7 linked regions of the Oryctolagus cuniculus genome follow. The protein of the gene in region 5 interacts with the protein of the main gene of each other region in a pairwise test. Links are inferred from orthologs where the notes say so. Each region holds a gene or a part of one and is shown on either strand. Other genes may lie near its edges. The genes, in order: PPL, retrotransposon Gag-like protein 8B, POLDIP2, LONRF1, ALAS1, DUSP19 and ZMAT1.

Evidence for each region.
Region 1: the proteins of ALAS1 (region 5) and PPL interact in binary tests that used the Homo sapiens proteins (3 or more experiments, as listed by UniProt). The two-hybrid records come from large-scale screens. The link is inferred for Oryctolagus cuniculus from reciprocal best matches to the Homo sapiens genes ALAS1 and PPL.
Region 2: the proteins of ALAS1 (region 5) and retrotransposon Gag-like protein 8B interact in binary tests that used the Homo sapiens proteins (3 or more experiments, as listed by UniProt). The two-hybrid records come from large-scale screens. The link is inferred for Oryctolagus cuniculus from reciprocal best matches to the Homo sapiens genes ALAS1 and RTL8B.
Region 3: the proteins of ALAS1 (region 5) and POLDIP2 interact in binary tests that used the Homo sapiens proteins (3 or more experiments, as listed by UniProt). The two-hybrid records come from large-scale screens. The link is inferred for Oryctolagus cuniculus from reciprocal best matches to the Homo sapiens genes ALAS1 and POLDIP2.
Region 4: the proteins of ALAS1 (region 5) and LONRF1 interact in binary tests that used the Homo sapiens proteins (3 or more experiments, as listed by UniProt). The two-hybrid records come from large-scale screens. The link is inferred for Oryctolagus cuniculus from reciprocal best matches to the Homo sapiens genes ALAS1 and LONRF1.
Region 6: the proteins of ALAS1 (region 5) and DUSP19 interact in a two-hybrid assay, tested with the Homo sapiens proteins (3 studies listed by BioGRID and IntAct). The two-hybrid records come from large-scale screens. The link is inferred for Oryctolagus cuniculus from reciprocal best matches to the Homo sapiens genes ALAS1 and DUSP19.
Region 7: the proteins of ALAS1 (region 5) and ZMAT1 interact in a two-hybrid assay, tested with the Homo sapiens proteins (2 studies listed by BioGRID). The two-hybrid records come from large-scale screens. The link is inferred for Oryctolagus cuniculus from reciprocal best matches to the Homo sapiens genes ALAS1 and ZMAT1.

What each region holds. Positions count from the first base shown.
Region 1 is NC_091450.1:30,734,889-30,739,685, reverse strand, and holds the start of PPL (periplakin), read right to left. Parts: upstream 3,071-4,797; 5' UTR 3,056-3,070; coding exon 2,628-3,055; intron 1-2,627. UniProt on the Homo sapiens protein: Component of the cornified envelope of keratinocytes. May link the cornified envelope to desmosomes and intermediate filaments. May act as a localization signal in PKB/AKT-mediated signaling.
Region 2 is NC_091453.1:112,833,306-112,836,831, reverse strand, and holds retrotransposon Gag-like protein 8B, read right to left. Parts: upstream 1,949-3,526; 5' UTR 1,857-1,948; coding exon 1,515-1,856; 3' UTR 689-1,514; downstream 1-688.
Region 3 is NC_091448.1:43,895,730-43,899,447, forward strand, and holds the end of POLDIP2 (polymerase delta-interacting protein 2), read right to left. Parts: intron 2,228-3,718; coding exon 2,148-2,227; intron 1,683-2,147; coding exon 1,568-1,682; 3' UTR 702-1,567; downstream 1-701. UniProt on the Homo sapiens protein: Involved in DNA damage tolerance by regulating translesion synthesis (TLS) of templates carrying DNA damage lesions such as 8oxoG and abasic sites.
Region 4 is NC_091433.1:77,988,926-77,993,757, reverse strand, and holds the start of LONRF1 (LON peptidase N-terminal domain and RING finger protein 1), read right to left. Parts: upstream 3,117-4,832; 5' UTR 3,010-3,116; coding exon 2,277-3,009; intron 1-2,276.
Region 5 is NC_091441.1:97,513,682-97,518,224, reverse strand, and holds the start of ALAS1 (5-aminolevulinate synthase, non-specific, mitochondrial), read left to right. Parts: upstream 1-1,316; 5' UTR 1,317-1,445; coding exon 1,446-1,589; intron 1,590-2,484; coding exon 2,485-2,704; intron 2,705-4,402; coding exon 4,403-4,543.
Region 6 is NC_091434.1:57,556,230-57,560,293, forward strand, and holds part of DUSP19 (dual specificity protein phosphatase 19), read right to left. Parts: intron 3,539-4,064; coding exon 3,386-3,538; intron 1-3,385.
Region 7 is NC_091453.1:90,871,923-90,876,489, reverse strand, and holds the start of ZMAT1 (zinc finger matrin-type protein 1), read right to left. Parts: upstream 2,924-4,567; 5' UTR 2,905-2,923; coding exon 2,610-2,904; intron 1-2,609.

The sequences.
Region 1 (4,797 bases), on a different chromosome or scaffold from region 5:
GACTCAGAGGCAGGCAGCGGTCAGTGACTCCTCCACGTTCAGCCTGCCCACCATGCATCCAGCTCAGCCCCATGCACACATCCACACAAGTCCCTAATTACCATCACCCCAGCTGCCTGTTGTCCTCAACCCGTTCCACCCGTTCCTTTAACCCTCAGCCAGCACTCCGGGCAGGCACTAGGCTACAGGTGGGAGAGAACAGTCTCAGAAGGACCAACTCCGTCCCAGGTTACACAGCCGGGAGGGTGGGAGCTGGTTCCCTGCAGGACGCTTCCCTGGGACCTGTCATTATCGCAGGTGTGAACACCTGCTCCCACACCTGTCATTAGGAACCAGGGTGACAGGAGCAACGGGTTCACACCCTGTCCTGGCCCTCCCGGCTGGCAGGGAGGGGCGGCTTCCTTAACGGGGCTTGGGGCTCACGGCGGGAGGTGCCCCGGCTTGGGATGTGATGACAACCCTGACCTGGGCACTTCCTGTGTGCCAGGGCAAGGCTGCTCTCGGAGACTCCAAGCGACAGATTCTTACTGTCCTCTTCGCTGCTTTGCAGAAATGGAAACTGAGGCTCGGGAAGGGTCCGGGGAGGTGGCAAAGCCAGGGTGAGGAGCCGGGAGTCCCGCTTCCTGGGCCCGAGCTCCCACTCGCCCCGCCAAGCCGAATCTCAATGGCAGAGAGCCCCAGAAAACTAAGGGTGAAAGAACACAGCTTAGAGCCACAGGTGCCCCAGGCTGCTTGTTACAGGGCTGGTGAAGCGTGGAGTAGGCTGAAGGGAGGGAGACTGGGGTGCAGGGCTGCCCCCACCTCCTGGCAGAGGGATGCACAGGGCTGGGAGAGGATGTGGCAGACCCGGCCGCACACAGGGCTGCCATCCCACTCAGGGCCAGGTAACACAAGGCCACGGCAGCCCCACCAAGGGTCTTCCACTCCACCCTGGGAGAGAACCAGGAAGGCTTCCTGCACAGACACCCCCAAGCTGAGGTCTGCAAGCCAAGGACAGAGGGCGCTGCCTCTGGCCAGGAGTGCAGGGAGGGAGCGGTCAGTGCTCGCCCCACGCACTCAGCGGGATGGGGTGCCTCCCTCCCAACTTGCCTCAACTCACGCTAACCCGTGTGAGGTCCAGCCCAGGCCTCTGGGGATGCGGGCTGCGGGGGATGAGGGGCAGCCTGGCCCAGCTCCTGGAGTGGGGGTGCCTGCAGGTGTGGAGGTCTTGTGGTGGCGAGGACAGAACAGTTGTGTGGGGCTGGCACAGAGCACAGGATTGTGCAATGCCCGAGAGAACAGCGCATCGACTGGCTGGGCCCCCAGAGAGGTATGAGAGCCAGCTGGACGGCCAGGGAGGAACAGCACGCAGGGCCCTGCCCAGCCTCTGAGGCTGTGACAGACAGGAGGGAACCGGGGGCGGGGGGGGGGGGGATGCCTCTGAGCTTCAAACATCTGGAATGGGAGCTATGGGATGGGTGGGTGGGATCCCGACTCCTGGGGTGTCTGAGGATGCTGGAACGGAAGGAAACTGAGGGCCAGGCTTGCCTGCACCTGCCAAACAGGTCAGCCTAGGCTGATGGCAGGGGCGGCGCGGGGGGGGGGGGGGGGGGGACGCGAGCCCAGAGTTCCCGCCTGCACTGGGCCATCAGAGGCCTGCCGGGAATAAGGAGCCGCCCCCGGCACTGCAGGGACTCCACAGGGCAGCAGGAGGAGTGGGGACCCCAAGCCAGGAGGCTGTGCCGGTCACCTACTCCCCGCCTGCCTCCATCTCTGTACCCAACGCCCCTACCCCGTTTTCCCTCGAGGGGGAGAAGGCAGGGCCAACTCCCTCCCCCTCCCTCATCTCAGAATTGCCCCGACTTCCCCAAACCGGTTATTAAGCGAATGCATTCGGCTTATCAAAACGGACGTGGGCTGCCTGTGCGCACAAACACATCGAGACATGTCATTCCTTTCCCAGGCCTCCCTGGGAACCCGCCGCTCAGAGCCGCCGCCAGTTTCGGGGCTGGGGGAGGGGGCGGGGAAGGAGCCACACCCCTAAGAAGGGCCGCGGCGGCCCGACGCCACCCAGCCACCGCGCAGCGCCCTGCCTGGCGCTCCCCGGGCAAGCAAGAGGGTGCCGGGCCTGTGCCCTCCGCTCCAGGGCCTCGGGGCGGGGCGGGACTCCCGAGCGCAGGTTGGCAGGTGCGGGGAAGTGCCTAGCAGGTGGCCCGCCCCCGCGCCACCCCCACCTGCAGCCTGCCCGACGCCAGGAGCACCTGTGCGAGCTCCGAGACCCGCAGGTGTGCGCCCTCCAAGCCCAGCTCCGCTCTCCGGCCCAGCACACCCCCTCTAGACCCGGCCTTCGGGCCCCCTGCGGCCGCAGTCTCCAGCCCGACTCAAAAGCAGCCCGGGGGGCGCAGGTTTCCGGTACCCCCGTCTCAATTCCCCGCCCCCTAGGCCCTCAAAGCCAGGCCCCCTGCGCTCCGAGGACCCCGGGGGGCCACAAGCGGTGTCCCCTCGGACGCGCTCGCCCATGCCACCCCATCCTCTTCCCAGCCGAGCGACCCCTCGCGTCCCACACTCTTGGCTCGGTTCCCAGACCCGTGAGCCCCGGGACCCCTCGGGGACCCGGCGCTGGCCCCCGCCCCGCGGCGCCTCCTCACCTGCGGGTCTGCACCTTGGGGCTGTATTTGCCTTTGTTTCTCTTCCTGAAGAGTGAGTTCATGGTGGCGCTGGGGAGCGGCGGGGGCCGGGCGGGCCGGCGCGCACCGAGGGCGGGCTGTGGGTGCAGGTGAGCGGCGGCGGCGGCGGCGCGGGCGGGCGGGCGGCCCCGAGTGCTGCGCGCCCTCGGCACCCCAGCACTACTCGCGGGGGCGGGGCGCCCGGCGGCCACTCGCTCCGCGGCCGCTCCCCGGGTAGGTGGCGCTTCACCTTTCCGGGGAGGGGCTCCCGCAGGGCCGGGGGCGGGGACGCCCGGGCCGCCTCCGCACGCGCGGGGCCCCGCCCTCCGCGCGGGGACTTGCGCGCCCCCCGACTGGGGGCCCTGAGTGCTCTGGGCGCGGGCGCTGCTCCGGCTCCGGCCGACCCGCATCTGGAGTCCCCAGTCCCCCGCTCCGCCCCTCACAGGGCCGCTGTCGGTGTCTGTGCGACCCGGATGGCCAGTGGGTCCCAGCAAAGGGGGCACTGGACGCCCCTGCCCACGTGCGGATCTTGCCTCCGCACTGGGTCGGCCGAGACCCCTGGGCGACGTGCGTGTTCCAGCGCCCCTAGCCTCAGTTACCCAAATGGGTGCCGGTTCAAGTCCTGACTGCTCCACTTCCGATCTAGCTCTCTGCTATGGTCTGGGAAAGCAGTGGAATATGGTCCAAGTGCTTGGGCCCCTGCACCCGTGTGGGAGATCGGGAAGAAGCTCCTGGCTCCTGGCTTTGGATTGGCGCAGCTCTGGCTGTTGTGGCCAATTGGGGAGTGAACCAGTGGATGAAGACACCTCTCTCTCTCTCTCTCTCTCTCTCTCTCTCCTTCTCTCTCTATGTAACTCTGACTTTCAAATAAATAAATAAATCTTAAAAAAAAAAAAAGCAAAACAGAACACTCAGACTGGAGACTTTGCTGAGGGGCCTGGTGGCCTCGTTAGGATCAAGGACAATGCGAGACGTCTGGGAACGTCCCTGAGTGCAGCCAGGGGACCTCTCTGAGAACAGTGGCTCTAGTTGCTGTGCGTCGGCGCCTGGGGTGTGTGGGGGTGTGTAAAATGCAGATTTCAGGCCTTCATACCCTGGGAGAAGGGCTCAGGAGTCTGATCACTTGACAAGATCCCCCCACGGTCCTGGACCTCACTGGGAAAAGCCAAGAGGGAGGGACCCTGCCAGCTACTGCCCAGGCACAGACCTCTCGCCAAACCTAACCCCCCACCTCGGCCCTGCCTGGCCTCCCTCTCAGGTGCTGCCCTAGGTGGGGCAGGTAAGGCCTTGAGCAACCCCTCGTTCTGAAGAGACTCCCCTCCCTAGGTCTGAGGGCACCCTGGGGACTCGCCCACCAGCCAGCTGACACTGGGGCAGGTGTCAGAGAAGAGCCAGGGCTGCAGCACACAGGCGGCCTGCAGCTACCAGAACCAAAGCCCAGCTCAGTCTCAGGCCATGGGCCACAGCGGGGGGCTTGTTTCCTGCTCTGCTCCTCCCCTGCCCGTGCCCAGAGACCCTTTCCTTACTCTTCCCCCTCCCACCTTTCTGGGCAGGTGGGCACTGGTGTGGGTGCTAAGTCTGCCTTGACTGTTCACTGCAACCTTGTAGATTTTCTGGAAACCAGCTGCTCACCCCTGGGGTAGGTTAAACAAGCAGCCACAGCTGTGCGGACGGTGTGCCTAGACCCACACGTGGAGTGGATGCCCACAGCAAGGGGCAAAGGAGAGGGTCTACGATGCCCGCTCTGTGTTGGGGGGAGGGAGAGAGAGAAACTAGGCGGGCATGCCACTTGCTTGTAAATGCGCGGCAGACGTGGGCAAGGATTCGTGAGACACGGTCACCTTCGAGTCCCCTCTGGAGAGGCCAGGGAAAGATCAGCATTTTCACAGGGGAAGGAGAGCAGGCAGCGTAGACAGACCTGAGTTTGAATCCCTGTTCAGACCCTCTCAGCTGTGTGAACACAGGTGAGCCACCATGCCTCTCCCGGCCTCCGTTTCCCTCTGTGAAATGGGCACAAACACAGCATCGACGTCCGAGGGTGAGGCGCTGTGTGCTGGTCCCTTAGTCCGGCCCCTGGCCATTAGCAGGGCCTCTGTGAACGGGAGGGGGAGGCGTGTGCAGCTGCAGGCCACCGGCTTGTAGGACTGGGGTG
Region 2 (3,526 bases), on a different chromosome or scaffold from region 5:
TGAATTTGATTATTCTGTGATTCAGTTAAACATAGCTATGGCGAGAAAGAGTCAATTAGGAGATTTTTGATTGCTTTACTTTTAATAGTTTGGGGGAGAATAACACAGGGCTAAAACATCCTCTGGCTCCCCCTTTTAACTGGCCAGTCACTCAGACTGCCTTTTCACATTAGTTAGCTCACCTCACTGGTGATCCCTTGGGAATTTGCAGAAGTGCACAGCATCACTGGAAACTAAGAAAATGTTCAAAATGTTTCTTGGGATTTGAAAATGAAAATAAAAAAAATCAGAGTAAATAAAACTTTCACAGCTGCTTAGAAACAATGAGTGTATAAATTTTATATTTTATAACAATTTGAGACTTGGGCTTTCAAATAACTTTTGAGAAATAAGGAAATCATTTCAATGAACCCTTATGGATGAATTCTCAAATCACCTAGGGGAAAAAAAGAGAAGTAAAGATTCATTTCCAAAGAGCTATGAAACATTTCTAATAGCATTATAGGATTCAGCACCAGCGACAGAATGCTCAGTGGTAGGTTCTCCATCCCCAGGACCACGGCAGGAGTGGAATCTTGATTTAGGATGGTCCAAAGAAACACTGAAACAGGTCATGCGGTTTCTGAACAAGATACAGACCCGCTTTGTAGGAGCACGGAGGGAAAGGTGGCACACTCAGTGAACGCAGTTTCTTATTGGACAGGGTCTGACATTTATTGAAAGAATGGAAAGACTTCTGTACAGGTAGTGTAAAAGAGCCGCGAAGACCACAGGGTCATAGTGTGGGACACAAGGCACACATCAGAGAGACAGCTGCACGTTCGGAAGAACCGGGACTCGGGGGGGCGGGGAGAACTACTGTCATGTCCACGGGAGGACGTGACAGGCGCGATTCAGCGCCCAGACCCTCAAGGTGTCTCTGGGAGGAGGGGGCGCGGCCTCACTCATGGTGGGAGGCCGGCTGGCCCCGCCGGGCAGCCGGCTGTCGGAGTCGGGGTCCGAGGGCCGCGGCCAGCCCAGACCCCTCGGAGGGGAGTCCAGGTGGCTCAGAAGAGCAGTCTGTCGGCGGGAGGCCGGGGGCGGCGGCGGCGGCGGCGGCGGCGGCGCAGGTGCGTGGGCAGAGCGATGCGGGCTGGCGGGGGGCGGCCGGCGGTGCGTGGTTGGTCGTCGGCCGCGCGGCGGGGGCCCAGCCTGCAGCCCGAGGGCCGGACGGCGGCCCCCGGTGCAGGGCACAGGCCGGGCCGGCGGCAGCGGGCAGGGCGGCGGCGCTGTCCAGAGCCAGGCCCAGAGGCAGCAGCGCCAGCCTGGAGCGCTATTCCTGGAACAAAGGCAAGCACGACGCGGGCGGGCGGGCGGGGGCGAGGGGACGCCGCGGCGACTCGGGGAGCAGGGGGGCGGCGGGACTCGACTCGGGCGCGAGCGCGGCGGGGGCCGCCCGCGGCGACCCTGGCGGCGGCCGGCGGGCAGCCCACCCTCCCCAGGGCAGCCGGCCCCGGGCCCGAGGCTCCGGCGGCCTAGAAGTCCTCGTCCTCCTCCCAGCCAAAGACGCGCTTCATCTCGGCCAGAAAGCCCCGGTAATCACTGAGGAGGGGACTGTCCTTCTTGATGTAGGGGATCACCCACTGCAGGGCGGGCCCCGTGAGGCGGGTGATGAGGAACGTCACCTTGAGCGCGTCGCTGGAGAACGTCTTCTCGTCCACGAACATGTAGGAGCCCGTCTGCACGATGAACTCCGGCAGCCGGTCGGTGTCGCCGTCAAACGTCTCGGGAAAGGGGATCGGGTTCCTCCAGCGACGCGCCGCGGGCCGCAGCGGCCGGGCCAGCAGGGCCTTCACGAGCCGCATGCGATTGTCCATCGCGCCGAGCTGGCTGGCGGGGCTGCGCGGAAGGCTGCGCTCGGGCGTCGCGGCGAGGACTCGTCGCGGAGGCGGGCCCGGGGAGGGGCGGGTGTGGGCGGAGTCACGCGCCGGGCTGCGGGCGGCGCGCGGGCCCGCCCACCAGGCCGAGCGGTCGGCACGGCGCAGGCGCGTGTCGGGAGCCAGCAGCGGCGGGGGGAGAGGGAGGCGCGGCAGGGGGCGGGATAGGGGCGGCCGGGGGCGTGGCCAGCCCTGGAGGAGGCGGAGTTGGAGGCGGGAGGGGGCGGTCCCAGGCGGGCGGCGGGCGGCGGGCGAAAGGCGGGGAGCCGCGGAGGAACGCGACACCCCAGATGCGTGTGGCGAGGCTGGGGTCTGCTGCTCTTGGACAGCTTCTGGTTCCACTTGGGGAAGTTAGCGAGTCCGGGGGCGTCGCCCTTCGTCCTCCCTCACTCCGCGCCCTTGCGCATCCCTTTGCGGATCTGGGCTCTGGCTGCCTTTTGAGGGAGGGTCTCTGAACACATGGTGCAACTCGGTCGTGTGTCTCAGCCAGAGAGGTGTTGACTCTGCAACATTACAGGCCAACCCCAAGTACTAGCGCAAAGTAATTACACCCTGAGCAGCTACTGTACGGAGGGTTGAATGCAAATAAATACCTTAATTTCCTGCAGTAAAATTCGGTGTGTGATTTACCTAGTTCAATCACTTGTCTATGGCACAATCCTGCCACGAATTATGAAACACGAGACACCTATTATCCCTTCAACACCTGTTTTTCCCCTAAATTTCATACTGTGCTCCTTGCACAGCACGTCAGCAGTTCTGGACTATTTCAAGGACGTGGAAAATGCATGTGTGTGTAACGACAGTGGCAATGCTGTAGAAGGGAGAGGGAGCATGAGGGAAGGGACAGGAGCACAGATGTTCCTGTGCAGGCATGTGGAGCCGGTCCTGATTTAAAAACAGCTTTGCTGGAGAAGGTGACTAGGATGGAGTTTCCAGAAAACTTCCTTTGCCCTAAACGGGGCCTGTCGACCAGACCAGACGTTTGAACGTTAGAGTTAGGAGATACATAAATGACTATAAAAGCAGTAGAAGGGAGAATAATGCTTCCATTTAGCTTCAGTTTGCAGCATAGTCTCTTTAACTGTTGGTAGATCTATATAGACCACTGAAGTACCAGAAGTGCCTTGAAGGATAGTCAGAAAAACACTAAACATTCAACCTATCTATTTTTCTTTTTTTATTTAGTAAATATAAATTTCCAAAGTACAGTTTATGGATTACAATGGCTTCCCTCCCCCATAATTTCCCTCCCACTCGCACCCCTCCCATCTCCCGCTCCCTCTCCCAGTCCATTCACATCAAGATTCATTTTCAATTATCTTTATATACAGAAGATCGATTTAGTATATATTAAGTAAAGATTTCATCAGTTTGCACCCACACAGAAACACAAAGTGTAAAATACTGTTTCAGTACTAGTTATAGCATTACTTCACATTGGACAACACATTAAGGACAGAGATCCTACATGAGGAGTAAGTGCACAGTGACTCCTGTTGTTGACTTAACAAATTGACACTCTTGTTTAGGGCATCAGTAATCACCCTAGGCTCTTGTCATGAGCTGCCAAGGTTTTGGAAGCCCCCTGAGTTCACCGACTCTGATCA
Region 3 (3,718 bases), on a different chromosome or scaffold from region 5:
TGACCTCCCCAACCCCCACAGCCTCTACTTCCGCTGCCGCTCATCCTCAGCCCTCTCGCTGGTGACCAGGAAAACACTAGTCGGGAAGGGCACTTGTCTTCTCCCTCTGGAAACGTTTGGTCTTAAGGAAAACAGCTAGCACTGGGCTCAGTGGAGTGAGCTTAGCTTCTTTAATCAGGATTTACGGTTTGAGGATCTTGGGGAATTTTCTTCAAGTTTCCCAACCCCGTTCAGGAAGCAGCCCTTGGTTGTGTGCATTTCCAACCGCAAGCAGCCCAGGGGGAAGCTGACAACAGCATGGATGTAGGTCTAACCCTGTCAGTTTCTGAGAAACTGGAAGTCTGCTATGAACACAGACAGTACCAGGTTTTACTGCATGTGCCGTGTGACCCAGGTCTGCCTGAAGGATGGTGCAGTGCCGGCAGGAGAGAATTTCCTCTTTGCCACATAGCTGTGATACCTTCTTGCTCAGCGTAAAGTGATGGAAGCAAACACTAATTTCTAATAAAACTGTTGCACTGGAGTGGTACTGAGTGTTGTTTTTACAGTGCGGAGAGTCTGACCAGCTTGCTGTGGGCTTAGTGCTTGTATGTCTGCTCAGGATGGGACCAAGTGTTATTCCAGCTGGTCCAGAGCGCCCCCCCTTACTCTTGCCCTGCAACCCAGGCTCCCCCTGGTGGAGGATTGAGGACAACACTAGCAAGGGCTAGAACCGATTTAATATAATTCAAGATTAAAAGTATCTTTAACAATCATTGCAGAGGACTTCTAAGAATCAGGGCAAAATGCAGCACAACTCCCTGGGGAAGCTTGGGAAGTAGCTTGGCTTAGTTACCGTCCATGCCTACAGCTGCTCCTTGGCTGAATCCCCACATTTATGGCCTGGAGGCTGGACAGACACTGCTGGCTTTCCTCACTATCTCAGGCCCAGCGAGGCTGAGATGCCAGCGGGTAGTCAGTGTTAAGAGCCGACCATTCCAGCCCTGATGCTGGCCAGCCTCTCTGTACTTGCCAGAAGGTGAAGAACAGAGTCCAGGTCCGTGCTCAGCGCCCTCGCACCAGCTGAGGGGTACAGTGCCCCTGGAGATGACCAGCCAGCCTCTGAAGGAGACATAACCTAGCAGAGGGCACAGCTCCCTGGAAGGGCAGCATGGAAAGTACTCAAGGGCCCCCACTGCGAGAGGGAGCCTGAGGCCCCTGGGGACAGAAACGGCGAGGGTGGCCAAGCGTGCACTGGTTTATTGACCAAACCTCACGTTCCAGACAACTTGTTGACCGGCCAGGAGACTCCTCCAGGCCTCTGGCAGCTGAACACAGTTCCTTGGTGGACAAGTTTACTGGAACACAGTGTAGGCAGGGTTTATAAATAGAAGGCCAGCCTTGGAGGGGTCCTACACGGGTCTTCCGAAGAAAACGATTGCATCCCCCAAAAGAACCTCACGATCAAATGGTGCAAAAGATGAAGAGACTCAGTGTGGCCTACAACAGGGAGAGAGTTCTGCAGCAACTGTGGGATGAGGGCTGTTCCTCTTTGGGGCCGAGCTGGGCTCTCAGGGCCTCAGCTGGCCTACCAGTGAAGGCCTGAGGGTGGTGTCTTCTCGTCTTTATTGCTTTCCAGGGAGAAGGGTGGGATCCGGACATCAAAGTGGGAGCCATCAGGTCTCTCAAAGCGGAACGTGCCCCTGTGGTCAGAGAAGCAGGTTGAGGGGAATCAGAGTTGAGGCCCTCCTGAGCCCCACACACTGAGCTCCACAGCCACAGCATGAGGTGGGCTGTGCTCTCCTGTCTAACTCACGGGAGGCTGGCTGATCCAGAGATCCAGGAGCCTTCCTTGGCCCCACACAAAAAGCACAGCTGTCCAGATTCTGGCCCTTCCAGGCACACTGCTCAAAGCCACCCAACTGCATCTTCAGGTTCAGTAGTGAAACACCGGGCTTCAGCAACTTAGTGTAGCATCAAACCACTGGACTTCAGCCCACACATCTTAAAAAACTGGCACATAGGCAGTCCACACAATAGTGAACGGCAGACAGGGCTCCATCTCGGGACTGAACCTGGCCAGCATTAACTGCAAACTGAGGTCGCTCCTCAGACCTGAAGCTGTGACTGGACTGCAAGAGCCCCTGCCCCAGCACAGGCTCACTCACCACATGTGCCCACTAGAAGCTTGCAGGGAGACGTGGCTGCTGTACTGGAATGCGGGCTGCTCCTTGGATAACACTGGTTCCTGTGAGGGTGCAGGCAAATGGGTTAGGCCACACCCAGGGACATGCTCCTGACTGCCAGTTCATCAGGATTGCATGCTCCCCCCACACTGATAACCTGCCAGGACCCCCTCCCACAGCACAGCCACCGACCTGGGCCTTTTATTCTGATTCTTTGGAAGAGAATCTCAGGCTGAATGTCTGAGGACACTGGACCAAGGACCTACTCTGGAACTACCCCTTCCAGTGTCCACTTTTGAGTGCTAAGCGCTAAGCACTCTGGCAGGTAGTCTGCAAACCTTTACGGATTTAGTTCTTCCAGAGATCATAGGCTAATAGGCGTGGTCCCCACTTCAGCAGTAAGAAGCTGAGACTTTGGTAAAACAACATGCCCAAAATTACGCAGTAAGTAACACAGCTGAAATTTCAGGCTAGACTAATTCCACAGCCCTGCTCTGATTCACTTTACTACCCTGCTTCCCCAAGTGCCTGCTGACTTAATAAATGAGTACGGCATGTGTGGCCTCTGGCACCAATGCCACTTCTGACTTTCTCAGGAGACAAGGTAGGGTAGGCAGGGTTTGCAAAACCAAATCTCTCCAGGGATTAGGAGATACACATGGATAAATAGGCAAGAGACAAGACAACCTAGAGTGATGGGAGGTGCTTGCTCCACCTAAGAGAATTCAGTTTCAGGTATCTTTTGTTATGTTTTTATTTGTTTTATTCATTCAAAAGGGAGAGAAGAAGGGACACATCTCCCACCTGCTGGTTTACTACCCAAGTGCCTGCAGCAGCTGGGGCTGACCCAAGCTGAAGCTAGAATCTGGAAACTCAGTCCAGAAAAGTACCCCAATTAGGATCCTAACTGCCAGGTCAAATGCCCACTCCAAAATTTGGGGTCTTCTTGGAAAAAAAAAAAAAAAAGTTTACTTCTTGTTCATTGTATTTGAAAGGCAGAGAGACAAAGACAGATGATGCTCTAATTCATTCCCCAAACTGCTAGGGCAGGCTGAAGCTAGGAGCCTGGAACCCAATCCAGATCTCCCACGTGGGTGTCAGGGACCCAAGTACTGAGACCACTGCCTGCTGCCTCCCACGGTGTGCGACAGCAGGAAGCTGGAATCAGAAGTGAAGGTGGGACTCAAGCCCAGGCTCTACAACACGGGATGTGGGCATTCCCAAGCAGTGTCTTAACCACTGCACCAGTGCCCTTCCCAAATGTCAGGTTTTTGAAAGACATTATGCAAATCAACAAAAGCCATACAAACTTTGACTTCAGACTCACTTGGATCTAAATCCAGGTCTTGGGATGGGCGTTATGGAGCAGGAGTTAAGTTGTCGCTTGGAACACCCCCATCCCACAAAAGAGTGCTGGTACGGGCCGGCGCCACGGCTCACTAGGCTAATCCTCCGCCTGTAGCACCAGCACACCAGGTTCTAGTCCCAGTCAGGGTGCCGGATTATGTCCCAGTCACTCCTCTTCCTGTCCAGCTCTCTGCTGTGGCCTGGGA
Region 4 (4,832 bases), on a different chromosome or scaffold from region 5:
TATTAGTCTTTGGGGTTGGCATCATTGGTCAGGTAGGCAAGACACTGCTTGGGGTGCTGGCATCCCGTATCTGCATGCTGGGGATGAAATCCCACCTCTGCTTCCCATCCAGCTTCCTGCTTACACACTCAGGAAGCAGCATTTGATGGCCCAAGTACTTGGGTTTCTGCCACTCAGATAGGAGAGCCAGATAGAGTTCTTGGCTCCTGACTTCAGCCCCCAGCTGCTGAGGGCATTTAGGGAGTGAACCAGAGGATGGAAGGGCTCACTCTGTCTCTATCACTCTGCATTTCAAATAAACAAAATAAACTTTCAAAAAAATATTAGTCACAGAACATGAAGCTAGACTTAAATCTGTAATGTGTTCACTATTCTTCCAAGGAATAGGACCTCAAAGCTTATAAAGAACCTAATTTAAAAGAATGTCATATCACCATGTCAGGCGTAGATACTGAATAGTGCTGTTGGTGAGTTTTATCCTCTATTTTATACTAGTGATAGAAAACCCTCCTGGGAAATGTGCATGAGCACTTGAGTGGATGACCTATAAAGACCAGATGAACACAAGGCCCACTTTAGAAAGGGACACACAGCTGCCTCTCCAAGCAGCCAGCTGTGTGACTGGGGCAAGTCACTGCACTGCTCCAGCCCTTGCTTTCTCACATGGTCTGTGATAGGTGTTCTATCCAGCCAATTCTGGCTTATTTGCCCACAAGAGGCAGTCAGGTGTATCAGAATTTAATACCCAATTATTTTCCTTTTGTTCTGAGACTATTACCATATTTTACAACTGCCTCCTCCACAGACACACTAAAAGGCCTCAAAAACATGGCAAGTTTGTGCTGTGAACTCTGAAGGTTCTAAATAACTCAAGACACTGTCACTGGTTCAATATGACTAAGCACCCACAGGAGGGTATTTTCAGTTCCACAGTGTCTAAACTTACCTAACACCCAAAGTCAGTTTAATATTTCATGTCTATTTCCTTGGGGATTATTTCCCCCAAGCATTATTTCCTGCCAACACAGCGACATGAAAATCTTGCAATCCACTTCATACAAGTGTCGCCCACAGTGCCACTGATGGTCGTCTGGGGCCTGCATTCTTGGCGGTGGCAGGTCAGCCGCACAGTGCCCACAGTGCCGGGACCAGCATCACGCCTACAAGAGGTGGGGACCAAAAATGTCCCTAGACACTGCCAGATATGTTGCCCTGGATAATGTCCTTGGGGAGGGGGTAGTGAAACCCCCCCCCTAGTAAAAGAACTGATCCAAGAACTTCATTTTTTCTAACGGAAGTTTTACAGGCGCGTCTGGCACAATGTAAAACCGCCTTGGGAAAAGTGCTAACTGAAGTTGGGAAGCCGAGGGTGCGTCCTGGAGACAAAGGAAGAGACAAAAGCCCTACACGGCCTTTCCCCCTGGGCTCGATCTTAAGTGGAAAGGCGAACGGAAGCGAGGCGGTAACTCTGGGTTAGAGACTACCTCTGCATCCCTGCCCTGGGCTGGGCGTATTCCGGAGTCAGCACAATGAAACCGGCGTGACCTGAGAAGAGCAGGTGGACGCCTCAAGATGCACCCACTCCGCGGGCACTTCCAGGTAGGAGCTGACCACCGCGGCCGGAGGGGCCTCGCGGCACTGGGTGCGGGCGCCGAGCTCCCGCCACGCCCACCGGACGTCACCCGTTACACAACGCCCCTCCACCCCAGCTTATGCAATTCTGCCCTCCCGCGGCTTCCAATTGCCCCGGTGACTTTTGCGGGTCGGGAAGGTAGACCTAGCCCGCCCAACCTCGGCTGGGGATCCCCGCCCCGCCGCGATGTCGTCTCCCACCCCCGGGGTGGCCCGGCCCTGCCGGGCCCGAGCCGCCAATTCCCGGAAAGAGCGCGGCAGGAAGCGGGCGGCCGCTCGGGCTCCCCCAGCTCCCACCCATCCCGCGCCAGGGCGGCCTCCGGCCCGGGGGCCCGCAGCTCCGCGCCGCACGCGCGCGCGCCCGAGCGCCAGGCCGCGGCCGAGGGAACCCCGCGCCCGCGCGCCCCTCCCCGCGCCGCGTCACAGTGGGCTCCCAGGGCGATCCCCATTGTGACCGAAGCACCCCGGGCGCCGCCCCCTCCCACACCCTCGAGCACCCCGAGATCCCGCACGCCGAGTGCCCAGCGGCCCCCGGGGAAGCAGGGCGAGCCTGCCCCAGGGCGCAGACCCGCTCTGGGTACCCGGCCCGCCCGGGAAAGGAGGGTGGGGTCGGTCGGGCCCGCGCCGCATCCCCGCGCCGTCACCTGCTCGCAGCGCCTCGCAGGCGGCGGCCAGGGCCTCCCGGTAGCGCCCCTGAAGCAGCAGCTCCCCGAGCCGGCCGGCCGCCCGGGCTCGCTCGCGCTGACCCGGGAACCACTTCTCGGCCAGGTGGTTGAGGACGACGCTGGTTCTGAAGTCCGAGGCCGCGATGGCGGCGGCCAGAGGCGGCGGCCGCGGGCCGGTCCCCTCAGCACCCGCGGCACTGGCGACGGCGGCGGGCGGCAGCCGGTCCCGGCAGAGGCGGCAGCGGACGCGGAGCTCTCTCCGCAGGCAGCGGCGGCAGTAGCTATGGCCACAGGGCACCGTCACCGGCTCGCTGAGGAAGCCGCGGCAGCCCAGGCAGCTGAGCAGCCCGCCCGCACCCGCGCCGGCAGCCGGGGCCGCGCTCCAGCCCAGCCCGTGGCGGAGCCGGTAGTTGAACACCAGGCAGTCCACCAGGGTGCCGAGGCACTCGGGCCTGACCGGGGCCCCCCGGCGCAGCGCCGCCGCGTACGCCTCCAGCGCTCCCTTCAGGTGGCCGCCAAGCGCCAGCAGCTCGCCGCGGCGGAGCAGCAGCTCCCAGCGCTCCGACTCCGCGGCCGCGCGCTCCAGCTGGTCGCCGCCGCCGCCGCCGCCGCCGCCGCCGCCCACTTCCCAAAACCGGCCTCGGCTCCGGGGCCTGAGGGCCGTCTCCCGACTCCCTCCCGGAGAGCCCCTCGCCACGGCCGGAGAAGACATGGCCCGCGGACGGCTGCTCCGCCGCCGCCGCCGCCGCCGCCGCCGCCCGCCGCCACGGTCCCAGAGCCTACGGGGCGCGCGGCTCCGCACGCGGCCCGCGAGCAGGGGGGCGTGGCGCGCGGACACGGCGGGGCGGCGCGCGCCCGGGAAGCCCCGGGGGCGGGGCCTGCGTGGGGCGGGGCCTCTGCCGAGGGGCGGGCCCAGGTCCGGGTCCAGCGCTCGGGACTCCCCCGCACCACCCGCGGCCGCGTTCCCGAGGAGTCGCCGGCCCGGCCCCGCCTAGCCCCGCCCCTTCCGAGCCCCCTGCGGGTGGGGGACGCAGGTCAGATGATCCCGCAGCGGGGATCTAATTGGTTTCTCGGGAGAGCAGGGCCTGGCGTGTTACTAAACAAAGCCCGAAGGATCCTTTATCACCCACCCGGGGCTGGCCTCCCCGCCGACGACCCCGCCTGCAGCGGCCCCCTCCCTCGCCTCTGCTCGGTGGGCGCTGCTGTGCTGAGTGGACCCCCTCCTCGCGGGACGGAGGCCCACGCCGCCCGCGCTCCCCCGACGCACTGCCCCATCGGGCTGGGGACCTGCGCCCTCGCCCTGCGCGGAGTCCGGGTCGTCAGGTGCAGGGTGGCGTCTTAGGTGTATGCCTCAGGTTACAGAGGTGGCGGGCCCGCGACAAGTGCCGTCTGACGACTTCGTGACTCGACTACCGTCGGTCTACATTAGACACAAACGCAAAAGTCCGCAGCTCCCTCCAGTTTTTTCTGGTGCCAAGTGGCCGCGGCCTTTCCAGTTCAAAACTCATTTCCTAGCTCGCGGGTTCTTGGGGTGCCGGCTGTATCCCCCTTCCAGCTGGGGGAAGTCTGTATTCCCCAAGGAAAGATGCCTTGCCCACGGCAGGTACTCTCTCCCTACATCCCGAGTTGGGTCTGCAGCTTTACAGACAGAACAAAAAGAAATGATCCCACTTGTAGGTAATGGGTTATACTTCCTGGAAGTTGACAGCAGCGAGTGTAAAACTCTCAATTGAAAATATTTATAGTTTTGAATATAGGGTTCTGGGTTGTTAATGTTGGAAGAGACTTAAAACTTTTTAGTTACTTTGCAGACGGTTGGAAAAGAAAAGTTTACTTGTCCGAATTCACACAAGTAATGAAGAGAGAGGATTTAACTGCTATGTTATGGTATTGATAATAGTTATAGATTCATTCCCCAAAAGGGAATGAACAAAAAGCTGACCGAGAAAATACTGAGACACACAAGGTGCAGAGACACACAAGGTCACTTTTCATTTACATTGCGCCTACAGCAAGTTGTAGTGGGATCCAAGCCCCGTGGCCTAATTGTTCGGTGTGTATTCACAGGCATGAACTTAAATCCAATCCTAATCCCCCTGAATTGCGACCTCTCAGCCAGCAGAACGATGACTTGAGTCACATGCCCACAGACCAGCTTGAAGCTACAAATCCCAAAGACTGAGTATCCCTATGCACGTGCCCTTTGACTTACGGGATGCATTCTTGTCCGTAACAGCAGCTTGCCAAACGTGCAGTGGTAAACAGCTAATAAATGTGATCGTGATCATACAGTGAGTTGAGCGAATTGATAAACACTCAGATGTCTTTTCAACACTAGTTTAAATCCATTCTGGGATTTCCCCTCAAAGTAAAATGTGTGGTTCAGAAAATCATGAAAAATATCATTTGTCCTTTGGAGTTTCATTCCCTAATAGACAGATAGGACAAATAACCACATCTGATTCGGATGTGAAATAAAATGGCACAATTAGTATGGTACTGGGACTGTGGCAGGGCAGGGAGGGGAGGTTGGGA
Region 5 (4,543 bases):
AACCCTTGTTTCTATTAAGCAGGAAACTCCCGGAGGGCTGGAGGCTTGTCAGTTTAAACAATACGCCTCTGAAATCCATGACTGCGTCTGACCTTCCTGCCAACTACCAGTGGCAGGGCCGGGAGAGCTCTACCAGTGAGGAAACTGAGTCTCCAAGAGGTTGTGGCTGCCAAAGGCCGTGACCAAATAAGATTCAGAGCCGCGTGGAAACCACGTCCAGCGCCAGTGTCCCATTCTTCCTGCCTCTGCTTAGTCTCGATCGCCCCAACGGCCCTGGGTGGCAGGGAGAATTGGGACTATGACCCCATTGCCCAGATAAAGAAAACAAGGCCCAGAGACAAGCAAAGCGCTCAACACCATCCTTAGCCTGCTCCTACTTCTACCTGCACCTTGGTCTGAGTGCAAGGGCTGACCCTTTCCTCCTCACCCTGGCTCACCAGCATGGGGAGAGCACAGTCGCGGACTCCTGGGCCAGAGCCCTCATCCCTGACTGGACTACTCCCAGGGTCACTCCAGACCCAGATGCCTCCTCTGCCTGCCCTGCAAGGGGCTGGATGCTCAGAGACGGGATCAGGCAGTGCTTGAACATACCTTGGTCACCATCACTCTGGACTTTGCTCTTCTAATTAATCCGCCGCTGGGGAGGGAACAACCTGAATGACCCTTTCCCCAGAGTGGAAAAGGGCAGCTCCCAGCCTGGCACAGGCTCAGCCCAGCCCAGAGCCAGCCAGGCTGGGGAGGGTGTGGAGCTGTCAGGGGTTTGCCAAGCCCTGCCCCCAGGTGTGGTCTCAGACAGACTCAAAGGAGACATGGCCCAGCTGTGAACTCTGGGACGGAGTCCCAGACACCCACCTGGGTGCCCAGGAAGGGACTTTAGACAAGCTCTCTGGAAAACAAAAACAGGGCGAATGCGTGTCGGACACTAACTGTGTGGCAGGCCCTGGGCCTCCCCTTTCCCTAGAGCTCAGGGCACATGGGTTGCATCCTTGTCTGCACAGCTGGGTCCCCACTCTCCAGCCTCTCCCTGCCGGCACCGCTCCGTCTTTGGGTGATTCGGTGACAGATGCGACAGCAAGTCCCTGGCGGGGCAGCTCCTGCTTGAGACCCGGCCCGGAACCCCCTCCACATGTCCAAACTTCTACTTGGCAAAAAATAGGGTCTCCAGTTGGCCCCGGCCGCACTTGGTCTAGGACCTTGCCCCCGTGTGCCGCACGGCGCCGAACGCCGGGTTCTGACGCAATGGTCAGTGGGGAGGCGGCCGCGGGGGTGTGGGACGAGGCCGGGACAAAAGACTTCGCCGCTCGGCGGCCCTCCAGCGCGGGATTTGCCAGCCAAGGCCGACCCCCTCAGCCTCCGCCCGCTCAGCGCTCCTCACGGAGGCGGGCCCGCCGCGCCCAGCCTCCTGAGGGGGCGCGCCTGCGCGAGGGAGGCCGGGCCCAGGGCGCATGCGCACTGCTCCCCGCCGCTGTATATTAGGCGGCAGTATCCGCGGCCTGAGACTGCTCGCCGACAAGGGCAAGCGTTCGTGTGGACACCTCGGCCTGAGTGCCCGCCGCCGCGGCCGCCGCCTCGCAGAGTGCCCCGCGCAGGTGAGGGCCCGCGTTCTGGGGGCGGCGCCGGCCCTGAGCGTCCCCGCGCGTCCTGCCAGCCCGGGCCCCTCTCCCCCGGCGGCTGGGACCCCATCCCCCACCGCCCCAGTCATAGCTGCTGTGGGTTCGGCGCTCACCGTCCAGATCTTTAGCCAGTTCGGCGACCTCGGGTCCCCCACATTCGGCCCCCTCCTGCCGGCTGCTTTTCGCTTCACGCACCCCTCCGTTTGCTTGCGGGCTCTCGACCTCGCCTGACCCCGGGTCCCCAGCTCCCCGGGGACCACCTGCTTCCGCCGGACCCGCCTCTCGATCTCAGAGCCCCTAATGCCCCCCTGCCCAGCCCCTTGACGCTTCCCTCTCGCCCCCGCCCTCTTTATGCCCTTCCTCTCGGTTCTGTCCGGTGCTGGCTGTGGGGCCTGATCCCGGGGCAGTCCATGCCTCAGCGACCCAGGGCTCCGCTGGCCGCCGTCCTTGGGTTTGGGGGCCTGGGGACCCGGAGAAAGTCCAGATCTTTCGGAGTCCTCCCCGCCTGAATGAATGACCGTGGCCTCTTCCCCGTGCTCACGTCTGCACCTGAGTGTGTGCTGCGAATCGGCCTCCCGAACCTGTTCCTGACTTGTCCCTCATCCTTCCCTCCCCTTAGTTGTTAACTGTCAGTGTTCATTGGGTGGAGTTGCTTTGGGGGTGCTTTAGTGTACAGCCGGGGAGTGTAGGAGGCCTGAAGGCCTGGGTAGAGTGTGGTCCCCAGTCCACATCAGCGCTGTCCTTAGACATTTTTCGAGTGAGGTGTGTATCCCTGGGTACCCTTGGTGTGGACCGCAGGGGATGCCTGAACGCAGTGAGCCTGCGGTGCTGTTTGCCTGATGAGCAAGTGTTGACGGCCCTCTTTCTACAGGAGCTAGCACACTCCCTGGACATGGAGACTGTTGTGCGCCGCTGCCCGTTCTTATCTCGAGTGCCCCAGGCCTTTCTGCAGAAGGCAGGCAAATCCCTGTTGTTCTATGCGCAAAACTGCCCCAAGATGATGGAGGCTGGGGCCAAGCCAGCCCCTCGGGCCCTGTCCACTTCTGCGGGGCACTGCCAGCAGATCAAAGAAACCCCTCCGGCCAGTGAGAGTAAGTGTCTGGCGGCGAAGGGGCGGTGGGGATGCGTGGGCTCAGCACTGGCCAGAGGCAGGCCAGTGCGCACAGTGGTAAGGGCGTTTAAGGGCTGGGCTGTGGGCATTGGGTAGCTCAGGTAATGTTGCCCTAACCCCACCAAGTAGGCGCTTCCAGTTTTCCCATCTTTAAAGATGAGACCGGCCAGCGCTCCATATTACAGGTCTCTTCTGGCTTGGTTTTAGCGTTTCAGTGTTTCCTCTGTGCCTTATTTGCATAAACATTAAATTAACATGCTGCGTTCCAGCCTCTCCTTCATTAAATCTTTGACCTTTGGCTTTTAAAGTTGTGATTTTTTTCTTTAAAAAAATTGTGTTGTAAAATGCGCGCAACATAAAATTGATCACCTTAAGTATTTTTGAGCATGGTTGCATGGTGGCAGGTACATTCACGTTGCACCGTGCCCACCAACCCTTTACAGAACTTTGCCTTCCCAGAGTGAAACTTTGGCAACCACTGTTTTACTTTCTGTCTATATGAATTGGGCTACTCTAGGTGCCTTATACAGGTGGAATCATATAGTATTTGTTAATTTTTTAAAACAGATATCCTTATTTTGTTTATAAATCCTTTGTTTTATTTGTAATAAAGAGAGCGTAGATGACTTTAGTTTCTGTTTGGTGCTGCCAGGAAAGGATAAAGCTTTTCCAATTTCACTTAATCCTAGGGAATATTTTACCTTCTGTTAGGTGTGTTGTCTGGGTGTGAACTTGGAAGAAAGGAATGTTTTTTTTCTGTAAGTAGAAAGGATTTAATCCTTTGGAGGATTAGTTTCAGGAATTAGCTTTGTCTTTTTTGCCAAAATGTTTGTAAATTGTAAGGCTTGTCTCTTTTTCTTTTCCCAGACTTTCTCTAACGAATATGTGCTATACTTGCAATTGATGAAATTAACTTCAAAGTAGTTTTTTTGGCTTTCATTTAGAGAAGATTTTAATGGAAACCATTGCAACACCTTGTCCAATGTAGGAAAGACTAGCCACTGAGTAACAGTATTCCAGAATGTGAAGGCTTTTCTAGAAGGAAGGGGAACAAATTTTCTTAAGGGGAGAGGGAAGTCTTAGATGAGAACGTAGGTAAGGTAGATAATGGTGATATACCTGTGGTTTTTTTCTTAGCATACTGGTAGTTTGAACTCCATCAGACAGCAACCTGGAGACCTGCATTTTAGTCTAATTTCTTTTATTCAGAAAAAAATTAGTAGTTTTCATGTTAAGCAACAGCATGCTTCTTGGTCAAGAATCTGCTTAGAAGATGTGAGTAGAGAATTGTGTGGATACTTCGAACACCCTGAGAGAGACTGTCCTCTCCTGACACAGGCTGAATGTGCTTGGGGTAGAATTTACTGGAAATGATCCAACTTGAGGACTCAGAGTTGTCTAAAAATAGAAAATAGTATCTTTATTATTTATTATTATTATGTGCTGTGAGGTAATTGGAATTGCCAAGTAAGTCTTTATAGGGGCATTATTTCCAGTGAGACAAATAAAAAAAATAGTGAGATTAACAAAACCTAATAAAACAAGTTTATGTTTGGATTGTGGGGTGGAATAAGCATAAAGTTTATCTTTGGGGCAATAAGAGGAAAAACATTAGTGGGCCTTCTTGTATATTGTGCAACCAGATCTGATGGTTCATTTTTTCCATTTCCTCTGTCAGAAGACAAAACTGCCCAAGCCGAGGTCCAGCAGGCTCCAGCCAGCTCCCAGCGGCCTGCAGATGGCACACAGCTTCCGTCTGGACACCCCTCCCCAGCCTCGAGCCAGGGCGCTGGAAGCAAGTGCCCTTTCCTGGCAGCAC
Region 6 (4,064 bases), on a different chromosome or scaffold from region 5:
GGCCTGGGAAAGCAATGGAAGAAACTCCTGGCTCCTGGCTTTGGATCGGACCAGCTCTGGACATTGTGGCCATTTGGGGAGTGAACCAGTGGACAGAAGATCTCTGGTTCTGTCTCTCCCTCTCTCTGTAGCTCTGCCTCTCAAATAAATAAATAAATCTTTTAAAAAGAGAGAGAGACAGAGAGAGAGACAGAACAAGTGCACTCCCATATACTGGCCTACTCCATAAATGCCTGCAACAGCCCAGATTGGGCCAAGCTGAAGTCAGGAACCTGTAATTCAATTCAGGTTTCTCATGTATGCAGCAAGAACCCAATTACTACAGCTATCCCTGCTGCCTCCAGGTAGGGAATTAGCAGGAAACTGGAATTGGGAGTAGAGCCAGGATGCCTCCAATATGGGATGCAGTCATCCTAAGTACTATCTTTTTTTAAATTTTTTTTAAATTTTTTTTTTTTTTGACAGGCAGAGTGGACAGTGAAAGAGAGAGAGACAGAGAGAAAGGTCTTCCTTTGCCATTGGTTCACCCTCCAATGGCCGGCGCGCTGCAGCCAGCGCACCGCGCTGAGCCGATGGCAGGAGCCAGGTGCTTTTCCTGGTCTCCCATGGGGTGCAGGGCCCAAGCACCTGGGCCATCCTCCACTGCACTCCCTGGCCACAGCAGAGAGCTGGCCTGGAAGAGGGGCAACTGGGACAGAATCCGGCGCCCCGACCGGGACTAGAACCCGGTGTGCCGGCGCCGCTAGGCGGAGGATTAGCCTAGTGAGCCGCAGTGCCGGCCCCTAAGTACTATCTTAACAACTATGTCAATGCCCACCCCTCTCCAATTTTACACACAATGGTACATATCTTGCAATTTTAATGCAGATACAAATGAAATCTATACTCTACCATCTAAGCCATATTCTACACCTCAAAAAAGCAGCTGATCCTAACATATCTATATAGAAAAATATATATATTAAAGATTTATTTGTTTATCTGAAAGGCAGAGTTACAGAGAGGGAGAGGCAAAAGCAGAGAGAGAGAAATCTTTCATCCACTAGTTCACTCCCCAAATGGTCACAAGAACTGGAGCTGGGCTGATCCAAAGCCAGGAGTCAGGAGCTTCTTCTGGGTCTCCCACACAGGTGCAGGGACACAAGTACTTGATTCATCTTCAACTGCTTTCCCAGGAACACTAGCAGAGAGCTGGACCAAAAGTGGACCACCTGGGACTCGAACTATGGCCCATATGGGATGCCTGTGCTGCAGGTGGAGGCCTAGCCAACTACACCACAGTGCCAGCCCCTTACATACATTTTTTAAGAAGTACTTATTGACATAAAATGGTGTCAATTCAAGGTATACTTCCTGATAACATAAGTAATTATTGACATAAAACAGTGTCAATTCAAGATGTACTTCTTGAAGATAACGAGCCTACAAGCCCTGCCTGTCAGCATGTTGGCTCTAATCTAATATTATATTGCCTGTTGGTCTTCTAAACTCAGAAAACCAATGGACAGCTACTGATCAACCTTTTTACAGACTCAGTAAAGCAATACACTTTTATTCCTCAGAGTGCCTTAAAATTCTGTTGTTAAAAATGCATAGACTGAGGCTGGAAATGTGGTGTAGTGAGTAAAGCCATTGCCTGCAATACCGACATCCCACATGGGCGCCGGTTCGAGTTCCAGCTACTCTACGTCCAATCCAGCTCTCTGCTATGGCCCGGGAAAGCAGAGGAAGATGGTACAAGTCCTTGGGCCCCTGTGCCTGTGTGAGAGACTCAGGAGAAGCTCCTGGCTCCTGGCTTCAGATCGGCCCAGCTCTGGCTGTTGTGGCCATCTTAGGAGTGAACCAGTAGATAGAAGACCTCTCTCTCTCTCTCTCTGCCTCTGCCTCTCTGTAATTCTGCCTTTCAAATAAATAAATAAATCTTTTTTTAAAAATGCATAGATTCTGAGGTCTGCACTGTGCCACAGCCATTAAAGCCCCAGCCTGCACCACCAGCATCCCATATGCATGCCTGTTTGAGTACCGATTGCTCCACTTTTGATCCAGCTCTCTCCTAATGCACATGGGAAAGCAGGAGAAGATGGCCCAAATCCTTGGACCCTTGCACCCTCATGAGAGACCTGGAAGAAGCTCCTGGTTCCTGGCTTTAGTTCCAGAGTTGCGGCCATCTGGAGAGTAAGCCAGCAGAGGAAGATCTCTCTGTGTCTCTACCTTTATCTGTAATTCTGTCTTTCAAATAAATAAAATAAATCTTAAAAAATATAAATGCATAGATTCAAAATCCCTACCTCAGTCATTAAAATGAATGTGCACTAACCATCATAACTATACTAACAAGACTAGAACACTCTTTATTCTATAATCTACCTGTAGGTCAGCAAGCAGTGGTCAGAGGGCAAATAGTTATCAATTCCTTAAAGGAAATATAACTACATATTTAAACAGGAAAATTCAGTACATGAAGATTTTATTTCCTAACATTTTTCAGACATAGGAAACAGGAAACTGAATTAATGTTAAAACTAAGTATCTCAGGGCTGGTACTGTGGCATATTGGGTAAAGCCGTCACCTGCAATGTCAGCATCCCATATGGGCACCAGTTCGAGTCCTAACTGCTCCACTTCCAATCCAGCTCTCTGCTATTATCTGGGAAAGCAGTAGAGGATGGACTCCTGGGCCTATGTAGGAGACCTGGAAGAAGCTCCTGGCTCCTGGCTTCGAATCGGCACAGCTCTGACTGTTGCAACCATCTGGGGAGTGAACCAGCGGATGGAAGATCTCTCTCTTTCTCTCTCTCTGCCTCTGTCTCTCTGTAACTCTGGCTTTCAAATAAATAAATACATCTTTTTTTTTTAAAAAAAGCAAGTATCTCAACGAGAAAAGAACAATGAGGGTACTAAATAACTGTAGGAATTGATGAAATATTTTTGGATTAAAAGTTTCATAATAGATCTTTAGAAATTCATTTAAAATAAAAAAATAAAGATGGAGACAGCGCTGTGGTCTGGTGGGCTAAGCCTCCGCCTGTGGCACTGGCATCCCATATGGGTGCCTGTTCAAGTCCTGGCTGCTCCTCTTCCAATCCAGCCCTCTGTTATGGCCTGGGAAAGCAGTAGAAGATGGCCCAAGTCCTTGGGGCCCTGCACCCACCTAGGAGAACATGGAAGAAGTTCCTGGCTCCTAGCTTTGGATGGGCCCAGCTCCGGCCACTGTGGCCATCTGGAGACTGAACCAGCAGATAAAAGAACTTTCTGTCTCTCCCTCTCTCTGTCTATAATTCTACCTCTCATATAAATAAATAAAATCTTTAAAAAAAGAATAGACAAAGGAACCATACTTTCAAATTTCTGTTTTTGAAGGACAGTGGATTAAAATAAAACTTACCTTCATTTTAGCTTCTTCAATAAATTCAAAACATTCTGGAAAATAAGACAGGATATTGGTTTCAGGGAGATCCAATATGGAGATGCTCTTATATGTGAAGTCACCGAGGAAAGCATTTTCAACTCCACAAGCAACATTTAGAATATGAGTCACCTTAAAGGGAGAGAAAAAATGATGATATTTAAACTCTCATGAGTGAGGTAACCTAAAAAGAGACTGAGATGTCAACATCTGTAACAAGAATAGTAAAATAATTATACATGACTCGCTTGAATGATATTTCCTCCAGAATGCCGTCTCTGCCCCATCCCTAACAGAAGTGCCCCTTCTGTGTACATCCTCATGGCCCACCATACATACCCTATTATAGCTCCGACCACCTACAGATTGTTTTCTCCTTCTCTCTACTAGAGACTCCATGAGGGCAGGGACCACATCTAACGACTGTAAATAAGTGCTGTGAGTGATATTCCTTCTTTTTTAAAATTTTTAAAAGATTTATTTATTTATTTGAAAGGCAGAGTTAAAAAGAGAGAGAGAGGGGATGATACTGTGGCACAGCGGGTTAAAGCCCCAGCCTGGAGTACCGGCATCCCATATGAGTGCCGGTTTGAGTCCCAGCTGCTCCTCTTCCAATCCAGCTCTCTGCTATGGTCAGAGAAAGCAGCAGAAGGTGGCC
Region 7 (4,567 bases), on a different chromosome or scaffold from region 5:
CCACTCGTTAAGTAAAAAGCTAGAAGAGTTTTAGATTGGAGGGAAGACTGATTAACTACAATGAAAAACTAGTAACCATTATATTTGTTTTTTCATATCCTAATAAACAGTCTTAACACAACTCAATACAGATTTCATTACTCACTGAATGTTAGAGGCTATCTATTAAGATTTATTATGATTTATGAACTACTATTCTAATGCACAGCCCTAGAAATGCCATCAAAAGAATATCAATGCAGAACTTCAACATTCTGGTTAATACTTTCAGATCTGAAATCAACCTCAAAGTTCGATTTGTTCAATTCCCCTATTTCAGAGATCAAACCCAGGAAGATTCAGAGAAACCTAAATCCCAAATCCAAGAAGTCTGGGACCTATTCAGGGTCAGCAAGTCTATTGAATTAGTTGTCAACAGAATCTGTGTTCATTCAACCAGACTCCTATGTCAGGGCTCTCATTTTATCACCTAGTAAAAGCATAGAAAAGGTATTGCTGCTACTTTATAAGCATATATCTTAAAGTTCTAAATATTCGCATATGAGGGTACTTTAAAGCAATCATGAATCACATTTCCCATGAACTATTTAAGTTTGTTTGTTTAATTCTAGAGGCAAAAAGGCACAGAAGTAGACAGAGAAACAGAGATAGACAGTATCTCTTGGTTTGCTCTGCAAATGCCTGCAACAGCTGAGACCGGGTCAGGCCGAAGCTGGGAGCCCAGAGCGCAATCCAAGTCTCCCAGGTGGGTAGACCTGCTGCCTCCTAGTGTGTCATTAGCAGGAAGCTGGGACTGGGAATAGAGCCAGGACTAGAAACCAGGCATTTCCGACACCAGATGCAGCATCCAAACCTGTTCTTAACCACTACTCCAAATGCCCATCTCTCTGTGAACTTTTTAAAGACTTCTTGTATGCACAGATTTCAATTTTTTTACAGAAACAAACATCTTTTAATTCAATTTTCCACAAACTTTTTTGAAGTACCCTTGTACATTATTAGAAAATACTGCAAACAATTCAGTTTACAGAGGCAGGCACAATAGCATTTTTACACGAGATTTGGACCCTAAACTTTATTGTGAACATGCCATGGTGAGGTTTCTTGCTGGTTATGGACAGAAAGTTTGACACAAAATTTCTATACTCAGGAGATTTCATGTTTCATTCCACAACAATGGTACAAATTCAGGCTGACTGAAGACACTAAATGAAGTGTTTCTTGTGAAGATTGCCTTTGGTAATAGCTGATAAATAAAATGCCATTATGTTTCAGTGTATTTCCAACTTGCTTATTTAGTGACTAGCAACGGTACAAGGTGTCTGCTACAAATATGTTAAGGGTTTTTTTGTTTGTTTGTTTGTTTTACTGCTTTACCATTTTTCCAAAGTGAAAAGTGTGAATGGTTATGAAATAGCATAGAGGAATATATCATTAGGCAGAAGAAATTATTTTTATGAGATAATTTTAACGGAATGTTCTGTTCCTACAAAAATCAAGTTAAATCATTTTGCTGTACGTTGGCATCTACAGTGTTTCGTTTTTGTAGGCAAGTTAGAAGGAAAAGGTAACATACAAAGACGGACATTATTGAACTTAGATGACAAAATGCTCGATTGCGATCTTCTGCCATGGAATCGGCCTAAGAGCATTTCCAAAACTGCTTTACAATACATTTCAATGGTAAATTTTACAGTTTGCTATTGGTAGGCTGCTTACAAATATATTGCACTTTATGTGAACTAAAGACCACTTATATTGGGATAGTCCAGAAATATCTTTTTGTTAGGAGTAATATGTGTTTGTAGGTACAACAGCACCTCTTAAAGCCGAAACAACCTTAAAGATGGGCCCATAAGCTTTGCTTTACTAGGTCATAACCTTAAAAAGCCAAAGAAACCTCTCCAAAGTGATGCGTGAAATTTGTGCTTCTGCCACATTCTTCCAATGTTTTTTCCCCAGCAGAGCACCCTCCACCAGACCCTACAATCCTAAAATCCAACCGATCCTACTTTAAAGCTCAAGTATACACGCTAACCTTCCCAAATGCCTAACCCCATCTCTCCATAAATGTACTACTCCGAGTTTCCACACCACAGGACCTCGGATTTTACCAGAGGGTTTTTTCTCTGTCTGATTTCTGATTTCCTTAGCTTTTCTTCTTTTTCTCTGTCGCCTCTCTCCATCACTCGCCCTTCTCTTTTCCTGCTTGCCCCTCTAGGGCCACAGCACTCAGAACCTCGCCTCTTTCCCAAATCACATCTCCTAGTGCACACGAAGGCGTCTTGCTGAGCGAGAAATGATGTGTGTGTGTGTGTGTGTGTGTGTGTTTTTCTCCCTTCAAACTCCTGCCTGGTGAGTACCTTCAGTTTCTTTGCCTGGGGGCCTGCATCCTTTTCTGGGGCCAGGGAAACCCCTCACTGCTTCAAGGAGACCTGGCACACTGGGGGCTAATACCACGGGGTGGGACGAGGCACCTTGGCCTCTACTGCGCCACAGCAGTTGGGGGTTGGGAAAGGGGCGAATCTCGCCCAGCCAGATTTCCGACGGGCTGATAATAGGCAGCGAAGGAGATGGGGCCGTGCCCGCACCCCAGGACGGGAACTCACCTTCTCTGAGGCAAGGGCGGGTGTCTACTTTAAAACTACTGCCCCCCCTCCCCGCCGCCGCCATAGTGGAGCCGCCAAAGCCGCTGCCGCCGTCGCCACAGCCACCGGCAGGCAGGCGGGCAGAGGTGGACGTGGCGGAGGAGGTAGGCACAATCACTGCCGGGGCCGTGGCCGTGGCTGTGGCCGCGGCCGCCGCCGCCGCCGCGAAGGCGGTATAGGAGGCATCAGAGACTGTAGCTTCCTGAGGGGAAGACTCCGTGGCCAGCGGCGTGACTGTGTTCAACGCCGCGGCCATCGCAGCGAGGCGCGGACAGTCGCACTTGCGCCTCGCTCTGGTTTTGCTCCTTTATCCCCGCCCCTCTTGGCCCCGCCCCCTCTTGGCCCCGCCCCCTCGCCCCTCTTTCCTTCGCCCCGGCTGGAGCTTGGATCTCGCTCCTTGCTTCTTCTGCCCAATCGTAAAGGTTAAGATCCACAGGCTGCTCTCCACCCCTACCCCCGTCCCCAGTCCCCACCCCACCCCACCCCACCCCGCCACGCACTGCTTGGCGTTGACGCATTGTCTTTGCCCAGGAGGCAATGCCCAAGAGAAAAGGGGAAAAAGCGCGGGATGTAAAGGCATGTGGGGATCACACAATGAAGACGCTTCCTTTGGAGGAGTTAATCTAAAACCAATAAAAAAAAAAAGGGGGGAAGTTACTGATTCCTCTCCTAAGGGATCCTAAAATATTCGTACATCTCTTTTCTTGGAGCTGTTATTACAGAAAATAGAAATAAACAGAATCTTTGGTTATGACACATTGTCTTTATGGCCCCTTAAAGGGCTGTATCTATTGATCTACCCATCTACATTTTGAAAATCTGCCGTAAATCTGGTACCCAACAGAAGTAGAATATTACTAATAATTTAATTCCCCTTAGCATTTTCCCCCTGACCTCCCTTCCTAAAAAACCAATTTGCTTTTTGATTTATGTTTATTATTTCTTTTATCTTTTTTTTAACTTTTATTTAATGAATATAAATTTCCAAAGTACAGCTTATGGATTACAGTGGCTTCCCCCCCACAACTTCCCTCCCACACGCAACCCTCCCCTTTCCCTCTCCCTCCCCCCTTCCATTCACATCAAGATTAATTTTCAATTCTCTTTATATACAGAAGATCAGTTTAGCATATATTAAGTAAAGATTTCAACAGTTTGCACCCACATAGAAACACAAAGTGAAAAATACTGTTTCAGTACTAGTTATAGCATTAAATCACAATGTACAGCACATTAAGTACTTCTTTTCTCTTTTAACGTATTTTCTTGTGACATAGATACATACCTAACTAGGTTTATTTCGTTTTGATTGTCTTCAAATTTAACAATGAAAAATTTGTATCTTTTACTAGGTAGCATTCTGAGACTTGTTTCTTTCATTCAACATTCAGTTTCGAATTTTCATCCATGTTGTTGTTTGTAGCTGTCAGGGTTGTACAATATCCCATTCATTTCCTTGCTGATGAGATGCCCAAGGGAAACATTTGTGTGAGTTTCTTTTCTGTGTGCCCTCCTTTCTGCTCTCAGTTCCCTGGCTGTATTTCCAGTCCTCGTTATGTCTTGTCAGCTATGGCTTCTATCCCACAAGTCATCTTTCCTCTGGTCCCAGTTCCTCCAATGTATTTCCATAATGTTGTCATTCATCACTGGCGCTCTCATTGCTTATTTAGATAAAGTCAAAGTGCACAGTTTGGCACTAATAGTCTCTTCTCTCACCTCCTTGATCTCATTCCTTCCCACTGTTCCCACCACTCCCCTACTTTACTTTGTGATTCAGTAATACTGAATCTTAAAGACTCCTTGTAATTTTATGATGCAGTGTTATTATATGAGGGTAGTTGAAAAAGTTCATGGAAATGGAATTAAAAATATGAGTTTGGTGTAAAATTTTTGGGGGGGGGCACCAAAATTTTTTTCAT